2 linked regions of the Styela clava genome follow. The protein of the gene in region 1 purifies or fractionates together with the protein of each later gene. This does not show direct contact. Links are inferred from orthologs where the notes say so. Each region holds a gene or a part of one and is shown on either strand. Other genes may lie near its edges.

Region 1 (12,349 bases):
GTATGTGTACCGATATGGAGGTAACTAATATTGTTTGCCTATTTTATATTAAGTTGTGTACAGGGACAAACGTATGGGCAATTCACTTGGCTAACACAGACAGTCCCCGAACTCGTAATAGAACTAAAATAAGGAAAATCGGATTAAAAAGATGGCCTAACCTTACCCTGGTACATATACTACGGGAGTAACCATCAAAAGTTTAATAAGTGTTCAAGTTTGTAGAAAAATGATTTCAGCCCAAAGATTTTTTTTGTCTTTGGAAGCTCGAAACCAAAATCTTTTTTGGAGAGAAACAATAAACAACAATAGTACCCAGTCCAATAGTAATAAAAAAAATCAATCCTCTGGACTAGTGGTTTCCAAAGACTGAAGGCCAAAACTGAAGGATAATCGCAGACCAGGAGAGAGGTGCGCCTGCAAAGAGCTGATACCGGTACCGGTATGTATAATCAAGATACCAAATTGTCAAGATACCGAACTGAATTGTTACTATTATATCTAGGACACAAAAAGAAAAAAACGAAATATGTTAAACTATTTTACTCAAGTTCGGCAGGCCATATTGGATTGGTTTAGGAACCATTTGAACAGTACTAAATTTGTTTTACCTGAGAATCAGGATTACAAATGTAAAACTCACCAAAGCTTGCCTGTAGTCCTGGACAGCAGAGATATGTTCCGCGAATTGAGTTAGTGTTACTTTCAATGGTCCTGGCTCAGTGTTGGCGTAATTCAGCATAAACTGGTAAAAAAAAATGAAATTCGTAAAAAGATATGAAATTTATGTTAAGTTTTATACTTTTCCTCCTAGGTAATCTGAAAAAAATGTTCTCAAAGATAACACAGGTTTACACAAACAACTATTTGTTTGAGTTGGAAGATTATTTTCACAAAATTTGGTAATTAAACAAATTTAATTAAAGTTGACTAAACTTTATCCTGAGTCAGCGATCGGCAACCTGCATCTCTTTGTTCACGAGCTGTGGTTGCCGAGAATCAAAGTGGCTACTGGCTACATCAGTTTATTTTAAAATAGTGGGGATTCAATGAAAATCATAAAGAGAGCATAATTTTTTTTTGAAATCAGCAAAATCGAATGCCATGGATATCAGATAGAATTGGGCAATGTATAAAGAAAGAGTATAAAAAGTCTAAATACGAAGTATAAAGTATAAAAAGTCTAAATACGAAAGTGAATCATTGAGTATTGAAAGAGCAATGTGTTTTTTTATCAGCAAAAGCAAAATCAGCTCTCTGATAAAATTTGAAAAAATAAAAAAACATTTTCATTTCCAATTACTATAAATTCGGAAGCCTTTGGATAAATAGTTACAAAAAAAAACTATTTGTCCCAGCAAACTGCAAAACAGTGCTGGCTACTTAAACAGAGCATTGTTTGTAGGATAAGTGTAAATATGGCATAAATAAGTGTAAATCGGTGCGGCGGTGTGGCTCAACGGGCTAAGCGTTAGGAATACGCTCGCCACCGCACCTCTAATTACTCTGCGTGGGTTCGCAGGTTCGAATCCCATGCAGGGATGGTTATGTGCGAGAGGATTGCTGGACTCCTCGCCGTCGCTGGGTGGTTCACGTAACCGCTGGTCGGTTACGGCTTCCTCCACCACCAAGTCCATGCTTCCGAAAACAAACAATACAGTAAAACTAATCCCATACCCGACTTGGAATGGTAACCGGACGAGAGGCCGTGGTTCGCCATATGGATAAGTCGTCTTATCGGCTTTCCTCTCCCCCGGGATAAATATGTAAATCATATCCATATATATATATATATCATGTTTTGTATAGAAAATATTATACTGGTAGTTGTCATGGAATTCAGTTGTTTAGGCTCATTACTTTTTACTAAGCGCACATGCTTGATTTGAGCAATTCAAAAAAATTCTATGTCAACAATCCCACCTTTGCCATTTCATCAAATTTATCTCTCAATCTGCTGCTTCTTCTGTTCACAGCTCCCATTTGTCCACAGATTGTCCCAAAATTCTTCTCTACTTTGGTAACAGCTTCGCGAATAAATTTCGTTTGATTGTCCCTAGAAGATATGATATCAAATTATTATGAAGACAAAGGCAGGCAACCGGACGAGAGGTCGTGATTTGCCACGACTAAGCCTTCATACGGGATTCCATTGGAATAAACATGTTAATCCTCATTATGACTATTTGTTATGCATTCCCATAAGAAAGCCAGGATATCAAAATGTTTTACTTTTCCAAAGCTGTGCTTTCAGGAATCATTGAAAACTTAGTGCCTACCTTGCTCTCGCTTCAGGAGTCTGCGCCGCAGAGTTCTTCGACCGATTCATCATGAATTGCTAGTTTCGATAAAAATAATTTAAAATATATAATATAGAATCTAACAAAAATAACATTTTTATTAACAAACATGAACATCAAATCATAGTCTACTTAGTACTGTTCCTAATATGCACAAAAGAAAAGCAGTGAAGTGGAAATAGCAGCACTGACACTTGCTTATTAGGACAAGGTCGTTCTGCCCTGGTTGCTTCAATGGTTTCTGGTTGTTAAAAAGCCAGAATGGATTAAAAGTCTGACCAAATACTGTATTTTGTAAAATACTTCAATATAGGCGTGTTTGAATATGTACAATTTTGCTAGGAAGGGTTCCCAACTATTTAGATAATAAAATCTGAACTTGTTAGGGTTAGCCCCCAATTTGAAACAACATTGCATTCAGAGTAAAAACCGAAAAATTCACATTCAAACCTTGCACTCGGTATTACACATTTCCAAAACCGGGAACCAAATAAGCATCTAATTAGATTCTTGGTAAATTAAGACGAATCTTTTGCTAGCCTTATGCATGGTGATCAGAACAAATTTAAATCACATTGCAGTAATAGTGAAAATAAAATAAAATTACGAATTCATTTTTGTTACCAATATTAAACACTTTCTGAACCAGATATCAGAGAAATGTCTACAATTTATAAATGTTAGCTCATTAGAAGATTTTGGGATAAATCTTGTACTGGGCCGATGACATTTTACAACAGTCAGATAAGCAACACAAGGTTAAAGGCTTTGAAATAAAATTATACAAAAAGGCTAATATTTCAACATAACTTGACATGCACAAAGTACTACAATAATTTGTGTACGGTATCTAATAAATCCCCCCATACCCAGAGCAGAGTGTAATGAATTGATGCTGAATCAAAAAAGAATTCTAGTTCTTGTAAAAATAATAGTTCCTTTCATTCCTTTAATTAGGGATTCAATAATCAATAATAGGTCTTTAAACCAAGAGTCAAAGGACATCAGCAATTCTGGAGATTTTTCATATTGCCCAGGCTATGTTGCTTTTTACTATTTTCATTGTCTTAAAGTATTTGTTGAATTCAACATCAAAATACGATACCATAATACAAAAATTTGAAGCTTATATAGGAGTAATGTACCGTCCCCTGGGCCCAATATCTTCTCAAAATACAGTCATTTTGATGAATAATCCTAGTTCATCATCTTTTTAGCACAGTCCAATTTACATTGCATTATTTTATCTAGATCCGACCACATTAACATTTGTTTTTGATTCTGATCGTGATTTTCACGAACTTGCTTCTGAGATTCACGAAGTGCTTTTGCTCTATTTTCTTGCTCTTGTATCTTTTTATTGTAAATCTCTCGATAGGATTTCTGTTTATCTGCTCCAGTCGCGGACATGTACGTCCGTAATTCCTTATTTGCTCGTTCTAATTGGACTTCGATAATTTTATTCATGCTTTTCAAGTAAAAATATCGGCTCTCCGTTTCTGAGCAGAATTCTCGTAATCCTGTAACTGTCTGTTCCAATTGAGCACGGTTTGACTCAAGCCCGGCAAGAACTCCATCGTAATGCCCCTTTTTCTCAGTCCATTCCTGCATCAATTCCTGGTTCTTTTGACGTAAAGGTCGTAGTTCACGGATCTGCGGGGCAAGGTCAGATTTCTTGTCTTGGATGATTGAATTAAGACGTTTTACGGCATCTGACATGTCATCTAAAGTACGATGTTTTGCGTCATCAAGTTCACTTTTCATCGACGATACTTTTTCCAAGTCATCTTGGGTATCACGAAAACCTGAAACTCCACTTTTAAGTTCTCGAGTGCGGAGAGTTTTTTGCGCATCTTCGTGTTTTTGTTTTAGAAGCTGTTCAGTGCGAGAGAGAACACCATGCTCTGCTCTAAGGTCTGATAACTCTTGTCTGGACTTTTTGTAATTGTTACTTTTTCCACGTAACTTTGAAACATAATTTTTAAACGCTTCTCCACGGAGAACTTCTCCCCCCATTTCAGTAAGCTGTTGTCTCTTTTTTTTAACATCACTTTCCAGTTTTTGAAACTCTTCTTGCGTTTCTTGCAATGATTCCGACACAGTCTCTTTCTTATGTTGTAGGATCGAAGCTTGTTGGCGATACATTGTCAAATTATCTTTCGCTGGGTAATTTTTGACCATTCGTTGTTCGACAAGACTGTTGATATTATTTTTCATGTCTTGAATATCTGATTCAATCCTGTCCAGATCGTTTTGCGTGATCGCAGGCTCCAATGCAACTTGTTGTAAACTCTGTAAAAACTTTTTCCGACTTTTCATTTCTTTCGGTAACTTTTCATCGATTAAATATTTATTGACACGGTTGTCTTCTTCCATTCTCCCAATTATCGATTCGGGGTTTGCGTTCGAGCCAGCCTGTCGTGCGTCTTGGAGACTCTGTCTAGCGTTCTGTAATCTTTGTTCGCTGAGTTGTAACTGACGTCGTTGTTGTTGTATTTTTAACTTCAAATCATCTGCTCGTTCTTTTTCTTTACGCATGTTTTGTGCAGTGGATAATGCTTCGCTAAGATTTGGAAATGTTTCAACTTTTTTACGAAGTCGAGTTACACGTTTTGAAAGGTTTTCTTTCTCTTCTTCCATGGTGGTAATATCGCTGCGGATTTCACCGGTACCATGACTTTGTTTTTTCAGATCAACGTACTCCTTGTGGCAGTTCAGAAAATGATCTTGAAGTTCTTCGTACCGATGCCAAGCCTCTTGCATTTGTGCATCCGAAAAATCTTGAACAAATTCAGGAGGAAGCTGTAACTTCACCAAAAACTTTGCTAAGTAGGCACGAGTTTTCAGTGAATCCAGATTTGTCAGGAGATAAAATAGAATTGGGCAATAAACTTCCTTTTCCCCCAATACAATTCCTTGTCGAAAACTTGAAACATCGGCATTTGGAGGCGGTGAATATTTCAGATTTTTCAAAGCATTCAAAATTCGACCTGCTCTAGCGTCCGGAGCTTCTTCCCGTATATCCCCTGCATGTCTGCTGTCAATATGGGCTAAAATATCATTCATCAACTGAATAAGCTGCTCAGATCCAAGCGAATGAAACGCAATCGCACTAAGTTCCTTCTCAAAGGGCTTCTTATTCAATATTTCAACAATTTTCTTCACTTGATCATTCATTTTTGTTGTTAATTTCCAAAATTACACATAGAAACTTCACAATTTGTGGACGCTATTCTGAGAAAAACAAGAACGCGTCAACGAGAAACGTTCAGGAATGCAGGTTGCTAACAAACATAGAACGCGGTCAAGGGTCACTGAACAGCTATAATAAATAATTCAGAGTCTTCGATGCACAACGGTGCTTAAATGAAGCGGTTAATAAGGACAGTGGAAGTTTCCGCCGGGCATCGATTTCCTGGTTTATTTCCGTAACCATAAACAATCAGCAACAAGTTCACAATACAGTAACGTGAAAATTGCAATTTTTGAACCGCTTAGAAACTAAGTTAGTTCAAATAAATATTCCGCAGGCTGAAAGACAAGTCGGCTAAAATGGGTATGTCCGCCATGTTCATACTGAAATAGCTATGTTCCTACCAAAATGGCTATGTCCCCACTAAAATGGCTATGCCCGCTATATTCCTACTAAAATGGGTATGTCCCTACTAAAATGGCTATGTCCGCCATGTCCATATTAAAATGGCTATATGTATGCTATGTCTTTACTAAAATGGCTATGTCCGCCATGTTCATACTGAAATGGCTATATGTCCCCGCTATGTCTTTACTAAAATGGCTATGCTCGCTATGTATGTATGTATGTTTATTCGTCTCGTAAAAGCAATATAAAAGAGTAAGTAATTATAAATACTGAAGACGGGATGTATGCACAAGACCATATTGGCCTAAAACACAAATGTGCGGCATGCACCCCTTTTGATATATGTTCCTACTAAAAGGGGTATGTCCCTACTAAAATGGCTATGTCCGCCATGTCCATACTAAAATGGCTATATGTCCGCTATGTGTTTACTAAAATGCAGTGGCAGCGCGTGGTCATTTTGACAACCGGGGCAAGCTACTGCGGGACCAAGTCACCCCCATCTACGGGGACAGGATGAGCGCTGTAAGTTCTCCCATCATTTCATGAGTATAAAAACCATTCCATCGGTAACAACCAATCGGCAAAAGCGACAATTTTTAACGATAAGAAAGTGTCTTTAAAACCGGTCCAAGTCAAGGGATTAATATATATAGACATTGTTTTTGAAACCTCTTTCAAAAGGAAAGGCAATATTTACCCAGATAAATACAATGACATATTAACAGAAACTTCGGGAAAGCAGACAAAACCTAAAATAAGGTTTAAAACGTTACTACGAAGAAAGAAAAGATAATGCAAAGATAAGGACATGCGTCGCTCACTCATAGATATATATGCTGCTAGACTTCTACTGCTTGAACATATATGCAACACGCCGCGGTTTCTTGGAAGCAAAATGCTCAATAACACGCTGATTAAAGTCATGCATCCCAGAAATAACGTCTCTGTGAATGGATAAAACAGCCAAGGAATTTAATCTATCTTGCTTCATTGTGTTTCTGAGATACGTTTTAATACGCTTCAGCGTGCTGAATGTTCGCTCTGCGTCGGCGGAAGAAATAGGCGTCGTCAAAACGATGTCCAGAAATTTTGCAGACGCCGCAATGGGAGTTACTAGAGTGTTATCTATGAGGAACCCATAGAGCGCGCAAGTTGATGTGATGTTCAAAAAAGTTTGATTGGTGTATATACATCGCAATTCATTTTCCAATTTACCCACGTTTATCATGGGGTAAAATTTGGAGACAGTAGCCAACAAATGGATGGGAAATTGACGTGCAATTTTGAAAAATTTTTGGGGTTCATCAAAGAGAACGCGGCAAGGTGTTCAGTGCGCAGACGATCGCCTATTTGATTCACCAGAATGTCACAGCATTCCTTTGCAGACAAATGCAAACGCTGCGTTGTTTGCCCGCGGCGTAAAGAAGCACTCCATGTGTCGTCGTATATTATTGTTTCCCGGATACGAGATACAGCATCGCAGAAGTCTGAAATACACGACTGCACAGACGCTCCATCCATTAGCCTTGACTGCAATGCGCCGTATAATACATCCACGTGATAGAATATTGTGGAGAAAAAATGAAAACTCACCATCTTCTAGCAGACGCTTTAGACCTGCCGCCTCCCTCACAGAGCGTTCGTCCCAAACCGGAGAGCTCTGAATGCCATTGAAACATTCAATGAGCTCAGACCTAATTTCGGACACGCCCTGCACCACGCGTGATTGGAAGTTCCAACGTGTTGGTGCACAAGCTGGGAGACGGCGGCTACATATCTGGCGAAGGAGGTCAGAGCGCTTCGGCGAAACGGAAAAAAATGAATAAAAACCCCGAAACATTTGCAAAAAATATACGGACGAGAGGGGTATCAAGAAACATATTTTTAATAACGAGGTTAAATTGGTGTGCATAACAATGTAAAAAATGCGCATGAGGAAAATCCAGTGGCGGCGCGTCAATAGGGCCAACCGGGGCAATTTTTCGGTATAATAAAAAATATTCGAAAAATACCTCAATATCGGTTGCATAAGTTTGAGCTATCAATTTTGACTTCGCGTTGTAAGGCTGTAACACTTCTTTCAGTACAGCCGATATCCCGCAAGCCGTGCGATCAACGATTGGTACAAAGCTGTGAAATCTCTCGGTAGGTTTACCATCTTTCACAAACCGAAAAATCACAGCCAGTTGGGAAACGCACGTGATTTCAGTTGGCAATTCTCAATTTCCAGAGCCAAATGCTGTAAATAAATTTTATACATTGAGTCGAGCAAATCATTTTGGATATCCTTAGATGTCCCTTTCGAAACAGTTGCGGCATCAAGATGATCTCTCAATACTGTATCAGGGATGCGGTGTATTCCACCATATCCAAAAATACCCCTCTATTAGAAGAGCCAGCCCGTTCATCGTGCCCACGGAGGGACAGCTCGTGACAACCAATGAACTTCAAAACATCTATCAATCGACCGAGAACATGGCGGTTTTTCTCGACGTTTTGGTTGTGCCGACGAATAGAAACCGCGCGTCCTTCATCCAACCGTGCTGCAATATTAACATTTCCGAATGTTCGGTATTTTACTGCATTGTCCAGATGCTCCATAGAAGATTGATGATCCCTGGCACGCTCGGAAAGATGTTTAAAATCTCTAAAACCAAATTTACACCAACGTGAGTCACGGGCGGTAGCAAAAGTAGGCAATAAAAACAAAAAAGTGCATTTTTGTCCTCGCTGTAACACAACCATTCGTGTTTTTTATACCAAGTTTTTGCGCAGAATGTACGCCGACGCTTTCCTCCGTCATGGGATTGTTCCAGTGAACATTTTTTTGGTTGGTAAGGCCCAAGACGTGGTACCTCTAATTTTTGTTCCAACGGCAGCTGCGAAAACGGAGTGCGAAGTAGTGCATCAACCTTATTCATTATGAGGTCTAAGGCCAAGAAATGCGAAGCCGGAAAGAAGTGAGGAGCTTAAAAGGAATGTGGAAAATCGAAAGCAAATGGACTAAAGGTCTCTAACTGATTCAAATAGCGAAACAAGCGACAAAAACGAAGGCGAGGAAACTATCAACTCTTCAAGCAACCAACGAACGAGAAGGAATGCGTGAATATGTCAACACGTTGTTGTAAGAAACGTCGGCATTGTGTCGTCATAATTTCGGGGCTAGCCCCGATGATTTAGTAAAAGAAACAGAAAACAAACGAGACAAACGCGGCGAGTGGAAGATAAAAGAGAGAATACGATATACAATGAGCAACCGGGGCAAAATCGGCGTCGCCCTGTCGACGTTCGGCGAAGGCTTTGCGAGCGAAAAATGAACCATGTCGGGAGAATATGGCTAGTGTAGACAGTGTGTGCAACCGATATTGAGGTATTTTTCAAATATTTTTTATTATGCCGAAAAAACAACCGGGGCATTGCCCCGGTTGGCCCTATTGACGCGCCGCCACTGCTAAAATGGCTATGTCCGCTATGTTCCTACTAAAATGGGTATGTCCGCCATGTCCATACTAAAATGGCTATGTTCCTACCAAAATGGCTACGTCTTTACTAATATGGCTATGTCCCTACTAAAATGGCTATGCCCGCTATATCCCTACTAAAATGGATATGCCCACTATGTCCATACTAAAATGGCTATATGTATGCTATGTCTTTACTAAAATGACTATGTCCGCTAAGTCCATACTAAAATGGCTATATGTCCGCTATGTCTTTACTAAAATGGCTATGTCCACTATGTTCTTACTAAAATGGCTATATGTCCGCTATGTCTTTACTAAAATGGATATGCCCACTATGTTCTTACTAAAATGGCTATGTCCGCCATGTCCATACTAAAATGGCTATATGTCCGCCATGTCTTTACTAAAATGGCTATGTCCGCTATGTTCCTACTAAAATGGGTATGCCCGCCATGTCCATGCTAAAATGGCTATGTTCCTACCAAAATGGCTACGTCTTTACCAAAACGGCTACGTCTTTACCAAAACGGCTACGTCTTTACTAATATGGCTATGTCCCTACTAAAATGGCTATGTCCGTTATGTGCCTACTAAGATGAATATGCCCACTATGTCCTTACTAAAATGGGTACAACGCCATGTCCATACTAAAATGGCTATGTTCCTACCAAAACGGCTACGTCTTTACCAAAACGGCTACGTCTTTACTAATATGGCTATTTCCCTACTAAAATGGCTATGTCCGTTATGTGCCTACTAAAATGAATATGCCCACTATGTCCTTACTAAAATGGGTACAACGCCATGTCCATACTAAAATGGCTATGTTCCTACCAAAACGGCTACGTTTTTACCAAAACGGCTACGTCTTTACTAATATGGCTATGTCCCTACTAAAATGGATATGCCCACTATGTTCTTACTAAAATGGGTACGACGGCATGTCCATACTAAAATGGCTATGTCCCTACTAAAATGGCTATGTCCGTTGTGTGCCTACTAAAATGAATATGCCCACTATGTCCTTACTAAAACGGGTACAACGGCATGTCCATACTAAAATGGCTATGTCTCTACCAATATTGCTATGCCCGCTATGTCCCCACTAAAATAGGTATGTTCGCCATGTCCATACTAAAATGGCTATGTCCGTTGTGTCCCTACTAAAATATGGTGAGGGGCGGGTGTGTCATCCTGGATACAATAGTAAAGGTGGTTAAGAGGTGTGTCATGTGGGTGTGTCTCAATGTATTATCATAAATGTGATAGTTGATGTGGGGGAAGTTAAGGGGTGGGTATCATGAATCCAATTTAAGGGGGTGAAGTTAAGGGTTTGACATGTAGGAATGTGTCATTAGGAATCCGATAGTTAAAGTGGGGGAAGATAAGGGGTGTGGCATGTAGGTGTGTCTCGATGTATTACCAATAATCCAATAGTTAAGGTGGGTGAAATTAAGGGGTGTCGTATCGTGAATCCAATTTAAGGGGATTCAAGTTAAGGTGCGTGTCATATGAGTGTGTATCAATGTGTCATCGTGAATTAATAGTTGAGACGAGTGAAATTAGGGAGGTGGGGGGTGTCATCATGGATAAAAAGTTAAGGTAGGTAATATTAAACGGTGTAGCACAGGGGTCTGCAACCTTTTGAACTCAGCGTGCCAGTTTATGAATAATGAGCACCTTCGCGTGCCAAACATTTTTATGTGTATGGTTTGCATAGCCGACTACCTGATTTGAATAGTAAGCGGATGAGAAACAAATTCATTTTATTGGATAACGTGCATGGAAATTATCTTACGAGAGATTTTCAATTATGGGCAAAAATAAAGTAATTATTATCATTGTCGTGACATAATTGTTGTGATTCAGGGAGAATAAGCACCAACTAAAAGTATTTACGGCCTAAATAACACGTCACGCTGATAAAAACAGTCAGGAATTTTAGCAAAATTTGAAAGGAGGAGGATGATCGACTGCACACGCTTACTGCACCCTACACCGATTTTGGGTACAGATTTCGGCCTCTCGTCGATTGAAGTTAAATATTGCATGTTTTTTCATTGAATTTGTCGATTTGTTATATTCTGTTCAATTGTAGAATGTTTGTCGCACTACGAAAACAAATATCTGAATATGGGTCAAATCGCTTGGCGTGCCATGAGAAATCCTCTCGCGTGCCACAATTGGCACGCGTGCCAGGGGTTGCCGACCCCTGGTGTAGCATGTAGGTGTGTCTCAACGGGTCATCATGAATCTTAACAATTAAGTTGAGGGGCACGGAATGTGGGCGTGGCATCATGAATACAATAGTCAAGGAGCGTGACATGTAGGTGTGTCTCAATGTGTCATCGTGAGAATGTTAAATTGTCAGGGTGGACCAAGGTTGTTGGGTCTGGGGGCCACAAAATTATTTTTGCATTGTTCGCGGGCCACAATAGTGCCAAATATAGGTAAACGGTGTAATACAAAACAAACACTTTTATTGTGCAAACACATTGATCAGTATTTGTCATTTGTCATGTATATTTATTTAAGTTAAAACAAGCAAAAACCACCGAAAAACTTACTAAAGCACGCAAAAATCTTTCTATATTTAGTGTAAGATTTCAAATTTTTCATAACGGGAAAATTGTTTCTGCGAATGTATATACTTTCGAACATCCATAATATGTTCAAAGCAAAATCTTAACTTTGTAAAATGTTCATTGCTCACAAGATTCCAAAACGTCGTTTTAGATTATATTCTTTAGACATCGACACAATTTGCTGACATATCAAGCAACAATTGTTGTTTTTCCCTCCCACATCCAGTTAAAAATCTGTTTAAATTTGTCAACTTTCTTTTCAAACTCATGTTTACAAAATAACCGCAGATTGGTTGATTAACAAATGTGAGGTACAGTAGGGTAATTACTAAATTTTCTGACATACAGACAGCATTTTTTGTAATATCGTTTAGACCAGTGGTTCTCAAACTTTTT
Region 2 (11,802 bases), on another chromosome or scaffold:
AAAAAATATTCGAAAGCCAGAAATTTCAATTGGCAATAATGTGGTAATTCAAATATGATAGTATCTATAAGTTCCAATAGATAATTTTTATGAATTTGTGGGGCTCCGTAAATAGTATTCAACCTCTTCACACACTCCATAACACCAAAAGTTTGAGAACCCCTGCCCTATGCAAACATGTCAGATATAAAATACCAAAACAACTTTAGAAGATTTTATTGTACAATTCGACATTTTATAAATCCTCAATGCTCCCACTTACCGAGTTATAATCATCAGAAATTCCTGTAATTTCTTTGTTCATGTTGATTTGGTCAATCATCTACATAAAATATTGACATAAATATCTATTAATACTAATTACTAGAATAATTCAAAAAGGAATTTCTATGAAAACATGACCATGGAATAACCATCATATTGAATCTTAGAAAATATGATCTTTATAATGATCTTTAAATATTTACATGAAAAAAGAATATTTAGATCAATCTAATCAAGTATGAGGAAAGAATAAAAGACAATTACATTTGCTGAGAATGTGACTTCTCATGTTTGTTCCATGAACTCCCTAATAGTGAACCGAAAGTCAATAGGCTATATAAAGGAAGGGTCTTCCCCAACTTTCTATACTTGCCATATTATAATCATGAAGCTCTCCTTGAAGACCAGCAATCTCAGCCGCCAGCATTTCAGCTCTCTTTTCAAACATGAGATAAGTGTTATTTTCTTCCTGATATTGACGAACGTCTGTCTCAACCTTTTTAATTTCTGACGCTAATTCATTCGTCTTGGTCCTGCATTTCAAAAATAAGCAATTTAATGATTTCTACTTGTCATTCAGCTATTAAAATTTTCTCTTTTTTACCAAGATGGATTGCTGTATAACCTCTCGGTCATGCACAGTTTACAACAAATTTATCAACCCATTTTAAATTACCGTATTTCCCAGCAAATAAGTCGCTTTTCTAGACCCAAATTTTTGGCCTGATTTTGGGGAGGCCGTCTTATTAAGCGAGTATGATATTTTTCTTTTTTTCGGGATCGGTTCATTATTCAATTAAGACCATAAAATACCTTCGGCGATAGCATCCCCCATAATATCCTCATCAGGTCAGTTTAAATGAATTGGCGTTCTCGCGCTGTAAATCTGGATTTTCAACGCTGAGATTATCATATTTGAAGTTGCCGCATTTGTTTGTGCATCACGAGTGAGGGCTATTACCGATAAATGTGGGATTGCAGTTTGTGAAAATCGTCAATTGTTCTGTCAGCGTGATGTCTTATTTGAGCTGTAAAAGTCATAAATTTCCCTCAACATATGTTTTGTGCCGCCAGGACCGACCATAGTTACTTCATTGTTCACAAACAACCATGGCACTTGTGTTGTGAGATACGAGTTATTACCTAATCATATGTGACATGATGCTAAGATGAATGAAGGAGTGATATGTGACCCAAATATTCTTGATTAAAATATTGGCATTATGAAATACTAAAAATTAAACGGAAACACCATCTAGGTTTTATTTTAGGATGGCCTGTGACAGATGATTTTTAGACATTGCAAATCGCAAAAACATTCTGTATTTTACAATTACCGACAGGGCCTGACGCGACTATGATATATTTATAATACCGTGATTAATGTGAAGTAATTTAATTCATTTTTTGGAATGCATTTAACTGATTTTAATTTACCGGTAGAATTTTTCTTACGTCGATTTCCTCAAAATAATGAGTGGCAGCTTTGCGATGAAGCGGAATAATTGTTGCAGCAAGAGCTCATTTAAGTTGTTCAATTTGTAAAAATACGAATCAAAACAACATATAATCGAACATGTTTATGTGCACGGTTTGTGTTGGTATTTTGGAGTGATACTATTTATATTGTCACAATCGCAGATTAAATTGATCACAAATAAATCAATTAACACATTTCGTTTCGTGGAGATTTCGAGGTGATGATTATGTATGTATGTTTCATATATACCGTACACTTTATATGTATATTTATTGTCGTTAATTAGAGATAAAGAATTAGCAAGACAGTTAAAATTCCCATAGATGTCATGGATTGAATATTACGCTACAAGAAAAAGTCATTATGGGTTATCTTGCATGGTAATTTGAGATTCCGATTCTGATGTGATTTTACTGACCGTCTTATTGGGAGGTTATAGGCAAAAAAACATTGTTTCAGGCTTAAAAACGGGCCTCATCTTACTTACTGGGTAGACTTATTCGCCGGGAAATACGGTAATTGAAATTCATGCACTGTGATATTGAAATACAAAACAGGATAATATAATTACAGTAGTTAAGGCAGTAATGGAAAAAATCACCAAATGAATTGGTTCAAAAAACTGCAAATATAAGCAGTACATAAAGAGTAAAATCAAGACTTAAGAGAATAGAATATTAACAACTTTGCAAACAAACACACTCGATACCAGTTAAGGAACCAAATTAAGTCTTTCTCATCGCTAGCGATCAGACATGGTCGAGATATAAAGAATAGATGGTCACCAATTATTGTCCAAAGCTGCCACAACTGGTTCGGCACACAATTGACTTTCTTTCAAAAATTGATTAAATATAAACAGCTCATGCTTGGCATTAGCGGTAGATATCCGAAGTGATCAGCGTTAGCAATTGTGCTCCCTCCAAGATTGAAAACTGATACTGATTACGATCTTACGATCTACTGTTGCGAAAAAATCAACAATGATTCAAATATAACTCATTATACTTAATAATACCCTACCGTATTTCTCCAAGCCAATAAGTTCTGTCTTGTATCTGTCGTTGGGGGCCTTTACTTGCTGTTTTCATTCCACCGAGACCTTGCTGTGTCATTGGTCGATCCGCTACTCTAATTCCAGCAGGTAAAACAGTGGATGTCATGCCCGGTTGCCCTCCCCTTGTACCAGGGCGACCAGTACCAGGAACTTGCTGAAATGTACACAGTACATGACATTAACTTGACTTGTCAACAGGCTTGCAGATAGTTTGCGAGTTCATTCCCAATTAAGAATTATGTGAAGGAGTAATTACTGTTAGTCGTTTGATTCACAACAAGCTCACTTTCTGCATGGTTATTAATCGATTAGGAAGTCTACATAAAGAAGAGGAAAATGAAAAAGCAGCAAAAAACATCAAAAGGTACTACTCACTCCTGTGCCTATTCTACCTCCCATCGGTGGTCTTGCTCCCATACCTGCATAAAACAATAAGTAAAACATATATATCGATAATTTATTTGATAGGGATGTATAAAAAAAATCAAAATATTAATGATGGATATGTACAAGGCCATGAAGGCAAGAGATTGGCATATTTTGATTGATATTGGAGTCCGTGCCAGAGCCAGAATCTCCTCTCCAGATTCTGAAGTGGAAGTTTCGAAACTTACTGTAATTCTATTTTTTTATTGGCGATATTCAAGTTAAAATTTTCGAATAAAGCATTGAGTTGACCCTAACAGATAATTAAAGAATGGAGTTTGAAGTTGGACCCTGAGACAAAATTGCATTCTTTTCCGCCAACCTGGAGTCGAAAGTTGTTTTTTAAATGACAGAGTTCCGACCCCACAGCACTGCACATATATTAATATTTTAATTATAACTGATGGCAATTAATCAAATCGTTTGTTAGTCAAATCATTCAAATCGCTTGAGCAAGAAAACTATTGTTTGCAAATTGCAATATTTAAAAAATCAATGAGATTGTTGTAAATAATGCATATTTAAGCATATTCAATACCATTTTACAGTACGGCACATTTCTCTGATTTCGAATTAGCGGATATATTCTAGAACAGGGGTTGTGCAACCTGCAGGCAGCGGGCCAAAATAATTTAGTTTAATCTAGTATGTGTGAGTAAGCAAAGTTGATGCGTCTATGGAGGCCAGACGTTCGTCAGCATGTGTTGATTGAAATTCAGTAACATCATTCATCGGAACTCGTTTCTGTCGTTTTCTGCCCATTAATCTCAAACACTTCATTTTTTTTTTCATTCGATAGATCGGATATTTTCTTTCCAAGTGAGTGTGGTGATTTTAGGTTACGTTTCTTTTTAGTTTATTTCACAATCTCATTGACGATTACAACACAACATAACGAAATGTTAATGCATGGTGGATTTGCTGTCCTGTAGAGTCACCCTATATTTTAACATATATTTTATATCCATTAAGTAAGTCTTGTGTGTACTTTCGTGCAGGTATGTTCAAACCCCATAGAGCAATTGATTGGACAATAATACAAAACATGTAGCTGGCAATGCTACAATCTAACAACATGCAAAATTTCTGGAATTGTCCTGTAGAGTCACTTGGAATAGCCCTTATATAAGGTAATATAAAAACAGAAAAGATGTTGCAGCGACACAAGAAATGTTTGAAACTCACCACTTGATGGCGGCCTTCCTCGCATTGAGCTTGGTGGCCTCCCAGCCATTGTGCAATATTCAAGAATGACTTCCTCACTGACAAAGATAGTAATGTCAAACAATATCTCTACTTAAGCGGCAGTATTCTTATGTTGTTTTGGCTAGAGACTTTAGATATTTAAATAAATAACAACACACTAAATATACAAAAGGTAAACACTGTGAAATATGGCAGTCTAGCTGAAATTGATACAACTGTAGAACCAGAGCATGGATGTGAAGTCTTAGCTTACTGGATTAATGTTAACCATGTTTGAAAAACGAGGTAGAATCCTTTGGATCAAATCGAATTGCGAAGGCTAAAGACTTCAGTTCATCTAAACATAGTAGTTCAATCAAAAACAGCTCGAAATGCTAGACCATAAATTTGTTGTTCAAATGCAAACAATTCATCACTTTATTTCAGAAAGTAGCCTACTGTATACTAAAGTCCTGACTTTCGGACTAATAGCACACGTTGAATGCCATTTATGAACGTACAGACGTAGCTTATTTTTTTAAAGCACATCATGTAGGTACAATTTCAGGACATAATATAGTTGAATGGGTGAAATAAAAGTCATAATAAACATTTCAATATTGCCTTAGCTGGTGGATAAGTGGCAGAGTGAATGAAATACAATACACCTCTATCTCGCTTTCCTTGCTAAATTGTTCTAAAGTAACTAAACAAAAACACATTAGACTATATTTTCATTCAGATAAATTACTGAATTAACAGCCGCCATTTTAAAAATCCTGTATTTTGATTGCGCTTCTTAAATATTTAAAGTATTAGCAGTTTAACAGTTGGACATACTAAAAAAACTGAACAAGATAGACTATGACTAATACCACATCAAACCTTAACCATGAAATTTGCATTCACTTCTGGACTTGGCAACTGACAACATTCTGACATTGCTCATCTTATGTCTGTATGCAGGACCTGCAGGTATGTCTTTTTTTAATGAAGAAAGAATATAACTTAAATGTTATAAAGTTATTGACAAGTTTTACGATCATTACATTAATTGTTAATGTTAGACTATATAGGCTATTCATGGAAGAATTCATCATCCAGATTTTTCACCATAAAGATTAGACTATACCGTAACAGTCTATAAATTAATGCCGAAAAAATTAACAAACTGCGACGATATTTCTCACACGTTATCATCCACTTATCCCCCGTAGCTCTGCGAAATTACACTAAAATGCGGCCACAAACAAAAAAGTTACGACCGAAAACCCGACCGAAGAAAAAAACAGACCATTTTTTTTTCAATCATGTTTTATGTCGCCAACTACCCATTGTCTCTTTAAAAAATAATTGAAAATCCATACAGATATGAGAGATAAAAAGATGGAACTTGGCAGGTGGGTAGAGTTGTGTTTTTTTATTAACCATCTTTAAAGTTTCGCGTTTCTACATTTAAAGGAGGGAGAATAGGGGTTGCACATTTCCAATATCTTTGCCGACCAATTTGCGACCACCGTGTTTTTGTCTGTTTGATTGCTGGGATGCGGTGCTTTGTTTATTAATTTGATGAGTTTTGTTCGAAATAACCATGTTCTTGAAATATATGACTGTCAGAAATACAATTAGAAGCCCAATTTTTTCACGCATGGCTGTGTATGCTCTAGTCTCGACGCAGTAGAAACGATGTTCAAGGCTCGAAACTCGTGGTCGCACACTGGTCGTTCGGTCGCAAATGTGTTTTCAGAGTGTCGTAATTCGAGGTTTAGCGTGTAGAATAAATGCCAATGCACCTACGGTGAAAAAATTAACGGATTACCGGTACAGGATTAGAAATATTCGTTTTAGCGATTTGAATGAAATCGTCAACAGACTGGCTACACCACCTTATTACCATTTAAAAAATGCATGTAGCAGTGTAAAGAGAATTTTTTTTCAAGTTAATTCATCTGCTTATGACTGGTATTACAGTAATACCGTACGGTACCGGTACGGTATCAACTTCAAATATTACCTGGCTAACTACTTACCCAGAATGGAAACCAGACGAGAGGCAGTGGTTCGTCATATGATCAAGCCGCCTGATATACTTTCCTCTGCGTCAGGATTAAAATGTAAACCCCTATTCTATTCAAAATTCCTCACGGACAGACGGAGCAGCCGAATACATTTTTAGTGATAGGCTTGCAGTACAATACTTTACGCACTATTTCCAGCGGTTTCCTCGACCTTTGACACAAAAATAAAGTCTCGCTACAGTATGTTACAGCTTTCAGATTTTGGTGATCTATGGATGTGTCCCCCAGTATCGGCTTCCTTGTTTACTTTGTGACATTGGCCAATCAGCAAAATGCAAAAAGTAGGATAGGATTTACATATTTATCGCAGGGGAGAGGGAAGTCGATGAGACGACTTAATCAGCGCTGGATTACCCATTGAACAATATAAGCACGTGCTTGGGGCACCAAGCAAAGAGGGGTAAGAGAAGTTTAGCAGACAACTCAGACTTCAAAATTTTCGCTCATTTCTCGTCTTCAAGTATCATATTAACCTTCTTTATTAAAAATTTTTGTTGTTTTTCCCCCTAGTATTCACCTTGTTGATGCATTTTTGTTTAAATAAATTTCTTCTCTTTTAAACTATTGGACCAATGGACTATTTGCACGGTATGGTGGTTCCGTGATCGCATTTCAACGATCTAGTGGTCAGCGATGTCGGGAGTCTTTCGATAAGGTAGACCAGAATGGTCCAAACCCTGTCATGACTTGACAAATCCTGAACTTTTTTTTTTTAGTTATTCCAACTGGGGTGGGATCCCTAGATTCAAACTCGTTTCCTAATCACAATGTCGGGAATTATGCTTGTCGAGGTCACGGAATTTCAATGCTGTATTTATAAACGTCAAGACGATGCCAATATGAGAATGGCGTCCTGTGAGCTGTGATCGGTACAATGAGAATGAATTGCCTTGTGCAGACAGGACCAAACCGATGAGATGGGTCGCACTTCTCATCTCAACTCGCGTCGGGTAACTCCTTATTCGGAGAGAGATTTTGTGCCTTTATTTTAGGAAAAACACTCCTCTGTTTTAAAATAAGGGCCATCTCTGTCTCAACGCCGCGTAATCCAGGTTATCTTGGGCTAGGTCCCGAAATACCAATTTGTCGAACTTGGTTGTTATTTGACAATAGCGTTAAGCCTGCTCACGCTGCAAATTTTTAAATTACTCAAAAATAATAATTCGTAATATAATGAGTGTCAAAAGAAAGGCGACATAAAGAAAACAAGGAGAAAATGTATTCTTGCCCACCACAACGGTAAACCACAGCTTCTGGTAAGTAACATCTGTCACGAACGAATATAATTTGAAGCGTCATAATAATTCGTAATATAATGAGTGTCAAAAGAAAGGTGACATAAAGAAAACAAGGAGAAAATGTATTCTTGCCCACCACAACGGTAAACCACAGCTTCTGGTAAGTAACATCTGTCACGAACGAATATAATTTGAAGCGTCATTATAAACCCAAACGCGAGATGCGGAAAATACAACGATAATTCTCGGTAATTAATTTCGAAATAACTGAAGGCTTTATATATATCTTCTTTAAAAGAACGCAACCCATGCAACATAATAATAGGCTGAATCGAACGGTAAACTCTAATTGTTCATTGAATTTAAAGTAAGTAAAGTCGCGATATTTCGGTCACTTTTGTTGTTTTTTTCGACTGCGGCCCGCGTGACCTTCTAAAAGGTTTTTGTGGTCCTTCTCGCTATATTGGACCACCCTGAGGTAGACTACTAAGTACCGGTAAAATTTCAAACTACAGTTGTGACTTGTTTTGTATCCTTTGGTATTTCGATTCACGATAAGATTGGACGCATGAATCTTCATCGTCGAACTTCTTCAGGATTAGAGCTTAACCGTTATACCGGTCTGATATTGCGTGTTTGCAGATATAGGCTAATATATCGGCAGTAAACGGCCGATATATATATATATATATCGGTTATGTATACCAGTTAAAAAAAAACCTAAAAAATATTCGTAAAAGTTGTTTTATTTACTGTTGGTTGTAATAATTTTTGATGGATGATACACTTATGTAGTTTATTGTTTTTATAATTTAAAATACACATAAGAGGGCACCAAAGTCTTCAGTGCTTAGGGCACCAAAGGGACATAATCCGCCCCTGGGCTTAATGATATGGCGAACCACGGCCTCTCGTCCTGTTACCAGTTCATGTCGGGTATGGGATTAGTTATGTCGAAAATAAGTGAAGCACAACCGGTGTATAGCAAAACGATTTTATTTGCCGATGTTTTGCTATACACCGGTTGTGCTTCACTTATCTTCAACATGAATATACCTGGTGGCAATCATGCGCTATGGGATTAGTTAGTCAGCTATTTGTATTTTTCCGAAGCGAGGACTTGATGGTGGAGGAAGACGTACCCGACCAACAGTTACGTGAACCACCCTACGGCGGCGAGAAGTCCAGCAATCCTCCCGCACATAATTAACCCAGCTAGATTCGAACCCACACAGGGTAATCCTAGTTGTGGTGGTGAGCGTATTCCTAACGCTTAGCACGATGCGCCACATCGCCGAGCCATATAAGTTATAAAATCCGTCACGTAACAATGGCTCTTTTCGCATCCGCTCAAACACTTTTCTCACTCCGACCGTTAATCGTTGCTCCGACAGATTTTCAGGCTGGGTCGTAAACATTATCTCGTTTTCGCGCTTTTGAATTTTATCCGCTAGTTTTCAGTTGTCAAATGAATTATATAAATTATTTCATAATTATAATTATAAATCGAAAAATATTTCAATGATCATATGTTTTCTTAGTAGTTTGAGTTTAATTGCAGTTTCATCAAAAATTAATGTAGAAACAGCTGTGATAGACTAGGCTAAAATTCTTTACCGACCCCTTTAGTGATTATTGCATACTATGAATCAGGTTGATGGTTTGAAACAAATATTCCATTTTAGAGGCGCCAACTCGTGAAACCGCTCTCATAATAAGCGCCGAAAATTTTGCAATGGTAAAGGATAGAAAAAACTTTCCGGGGTCAAATGTCGAGGAAAGGTTCATGGTGAAAGAATGGATGGAGTGCTTCCGTCACAATAAAAATCAGGAGATAATTATAAGCAGAATCAGAAATATTTTATGCGCCATTTCAATAAAAACACATTCAACATTAAAGTGTCTGTAATAAGCTTATATATGTGTTCAGAATATATGTTTTCCCCCTAGCATATCTATAGCGATTAATTACCACTACACATAGATTGTTTGTTGATTGGTTTGATTAGTTGCGTCTGACACAAATTTTGACTGACCAAGTTTGTCAAACTGACGATAGACACCGACAGTCGTCAACGCCCACGTGAATGAATATGCGTTAAAAATCTATATATATATATATGTTCATTAGTCTAATAGATTACCTGCTAACTAGGGAAACAAAACCTTAGAACAATTGATGTCAAGTCAAGCCTGCTGGTAGGCCTACGCCTAGGCCTACCAATAACATAACAGTATAGTTTGTCATCTGCTTTCTATTGAAATGGGAGAGTTCCGGATCTTTTGAAAACAGTAGAATATAACTGAAGATCCATTCCGTTGTCTATAGCATACGTACAGCCAACGGAACAATACGAAATAACCATTTTCAAAAGCCAAACAAAACGGAAACGTATAATCCGACTTGCAACTGAAAGGAGCCAGCTGGACGTTTTTTTTTTGCCGTCCAGTAAACACAGTCACGTGACCCGTGCAAGTCCTCTAATTTTGTAATGCATTCGGGGTTTGATTTGCAGGACAAAATGAATTTATAAGTACATGACTTAGTTATTTCGAAATTTTGTAAATGGATCTTTGGGGTGAAGATAGTAGCCGAAGTATGGGGTATATAAATGCTGTATATAATATATATATATATATATATATGTATATAACGCTATAGTAATATTACCCTATCACATCCCGGTGAGGTTTTGCTGGATAAAAATTCGTAACATAGGCAAAATAAAAGGTTTTGTTATCACCTATTGTGCTCTATATATCCTCAATATGAGTATACCCGATGGCAATAATGTAATAACTATTTATATTTACGTCTAATTGTCGTAAGTAAGTACGTAATATGTGTACCAGGTTAGTGTTAGGCAATAATTTTATTTCAATTTTTCTTATTTTTGTTTCATTACGAGTTCGGAAACTAGCCAAGTTCCCGTAGTATTTGTACCTGGAATTATGACCTAGCCGTAACCTGGTACTCATACAACGTCGCGGTGACCGCCATCTTGGTTCGCATAACACAGGAGTACCGCTAAATGTACTCGAGAATATAAAAGCCTACATCGATTAGAATGAGGGAAAGTAAAGAAAAATGTGTGAATTACCTATGATATATTCGCAAGTTAAAAATATGGTAATGGAATCCCTAGTAGACCATGCAATGTACGTACCAGAATCAGTGGCGTAACAACGCCATGTGGCACCCCTGGATCTTTGCACAAAATGCCGCCCCCTCAACACCGCCGTAAAAGCGGAATAAAATTTCACACAACAGAAGAATTAAAGCTGTAATTGTTACATCGTAACAATTCCAAATTCAGTACGTCTGGTTTTCATTGAATCAAATATGTCTGAAGTACTTTCACAGCTTCGTAATGCGCACTCCATAGTGTATCAGTCCCCCCATCTGTGAGTAGAAGCAGAAAAAAGGAATAAACAGCAAAAAATGTTTCAGAAACTTCCGACGATCCCACTGCGTGAACTCCTGCAAGATTTAATAAGTGGTTTCCACATGGGATAAACAAGGCATTAGAATTTATATTTTCTTCTGCGTTGCACTCCAGTACGGACTCCTGCCACGGTGGAAGTATTGTCGTATGCTTGTTCTCTACATATCATCATGTCTAAGCCAATTTGCTAAAGCTCATTGAGAATAGACTTAGTAATTTTCCATGCAGTGGAAATAAATTCAGAAAGGATTTTTTTTATTTGTACCTCGTTATTGCTGCCGATTTTAACATATCTAACAATAAAAGCCATTTGATCGATATATATGAGAGACGTCAAGAATACTGTCAAGTAAAATTGAGAAATACTTTGCTGTCTTTATCTCCTTCAGAATGAAATCTTTATACCAAGAAGCTCGAATAATTCATTTTGGATAGCTGATGTAAGGTACGCTGCCATGCTCTTTTTAGAGAGATAAGTACCAAAAATTTGTTCGTCAATGACTGTAATTTGCAAGAAGTTTTAATGTTTCAAGAAAATTCCCCTGAGTTCTTAAATTAGAATCTTCCCGATGACCACGAAAAAGAAGATTTTGTTTACTGAAAAACTGTATGACTGCGATCTCTCCAT

Evidence for each region.
Region 2: the proteins of intraflagellar transport protein 81 homolog (region 1) and intraflagellar transport protein 74 homolog purify together in Homo sapiens (affinity purification with mass spectrometry; 3 studies listed by BioGRID and IntAct, counting the BioPlex papers as one, with this or other methods). This does not show direct contact. The link is inferred for Styela clava from reciprocal best matches to the Homo sapiens genes IFT81 and IFT74.

The regions. Positions count from the first base shown.
Region 1 is NC_135262.1:1,878,271-1,890,619, forward strand, and holds intraflagellar transport protein 81 homolog, read right to left. Parts: upstream 5,605-12,349; 5' UTR 5,478-5,604; coding exon 3,498-5,477; 3' UTR 2,379-3,497; downstream 1-2,378. Other genes in the region: CBY1-interacting BAR domain-containing protein 1-A-like, read right to left, coding at 644-745, 1,924-2,056, 2,280-2,332. UniProt on the Homo sapiens protein: Component of the intraflagellar transport (IFT) complex B: together with IFT74, forms a tubulin-binding module that specifically mediates transport of tubulin within the cilium. Binds tubulin via its CH (calponin-homology)-like region.
Region 2 is NC_135260.1:21,839,449-21,851,250, reverse strand, and holds the start of intraflagellar transport protein 74 homolog, read right to left. Parts: upstream 4,609-11,802; 5' UTR 4,462-4,608; coding exon 4,413-4,461; intron 3,221-4,412; coding exon 3,177-3,220; intron 2,956-3,176; coding exon 2,768-2,955; intron 798-2,767; coding exon 638-797; intron 323-637; coding exon 263-322; intron 1-262. UniProt on the Homo sapiens protein: Component of the intraflagellar transport (IFT) complex B: together with IFT81, forms a tubulin-binding module that specifically mediates transport of tubulin within the cilium. Binds beta-tubulin via its basic region. Required for ciliogenesis.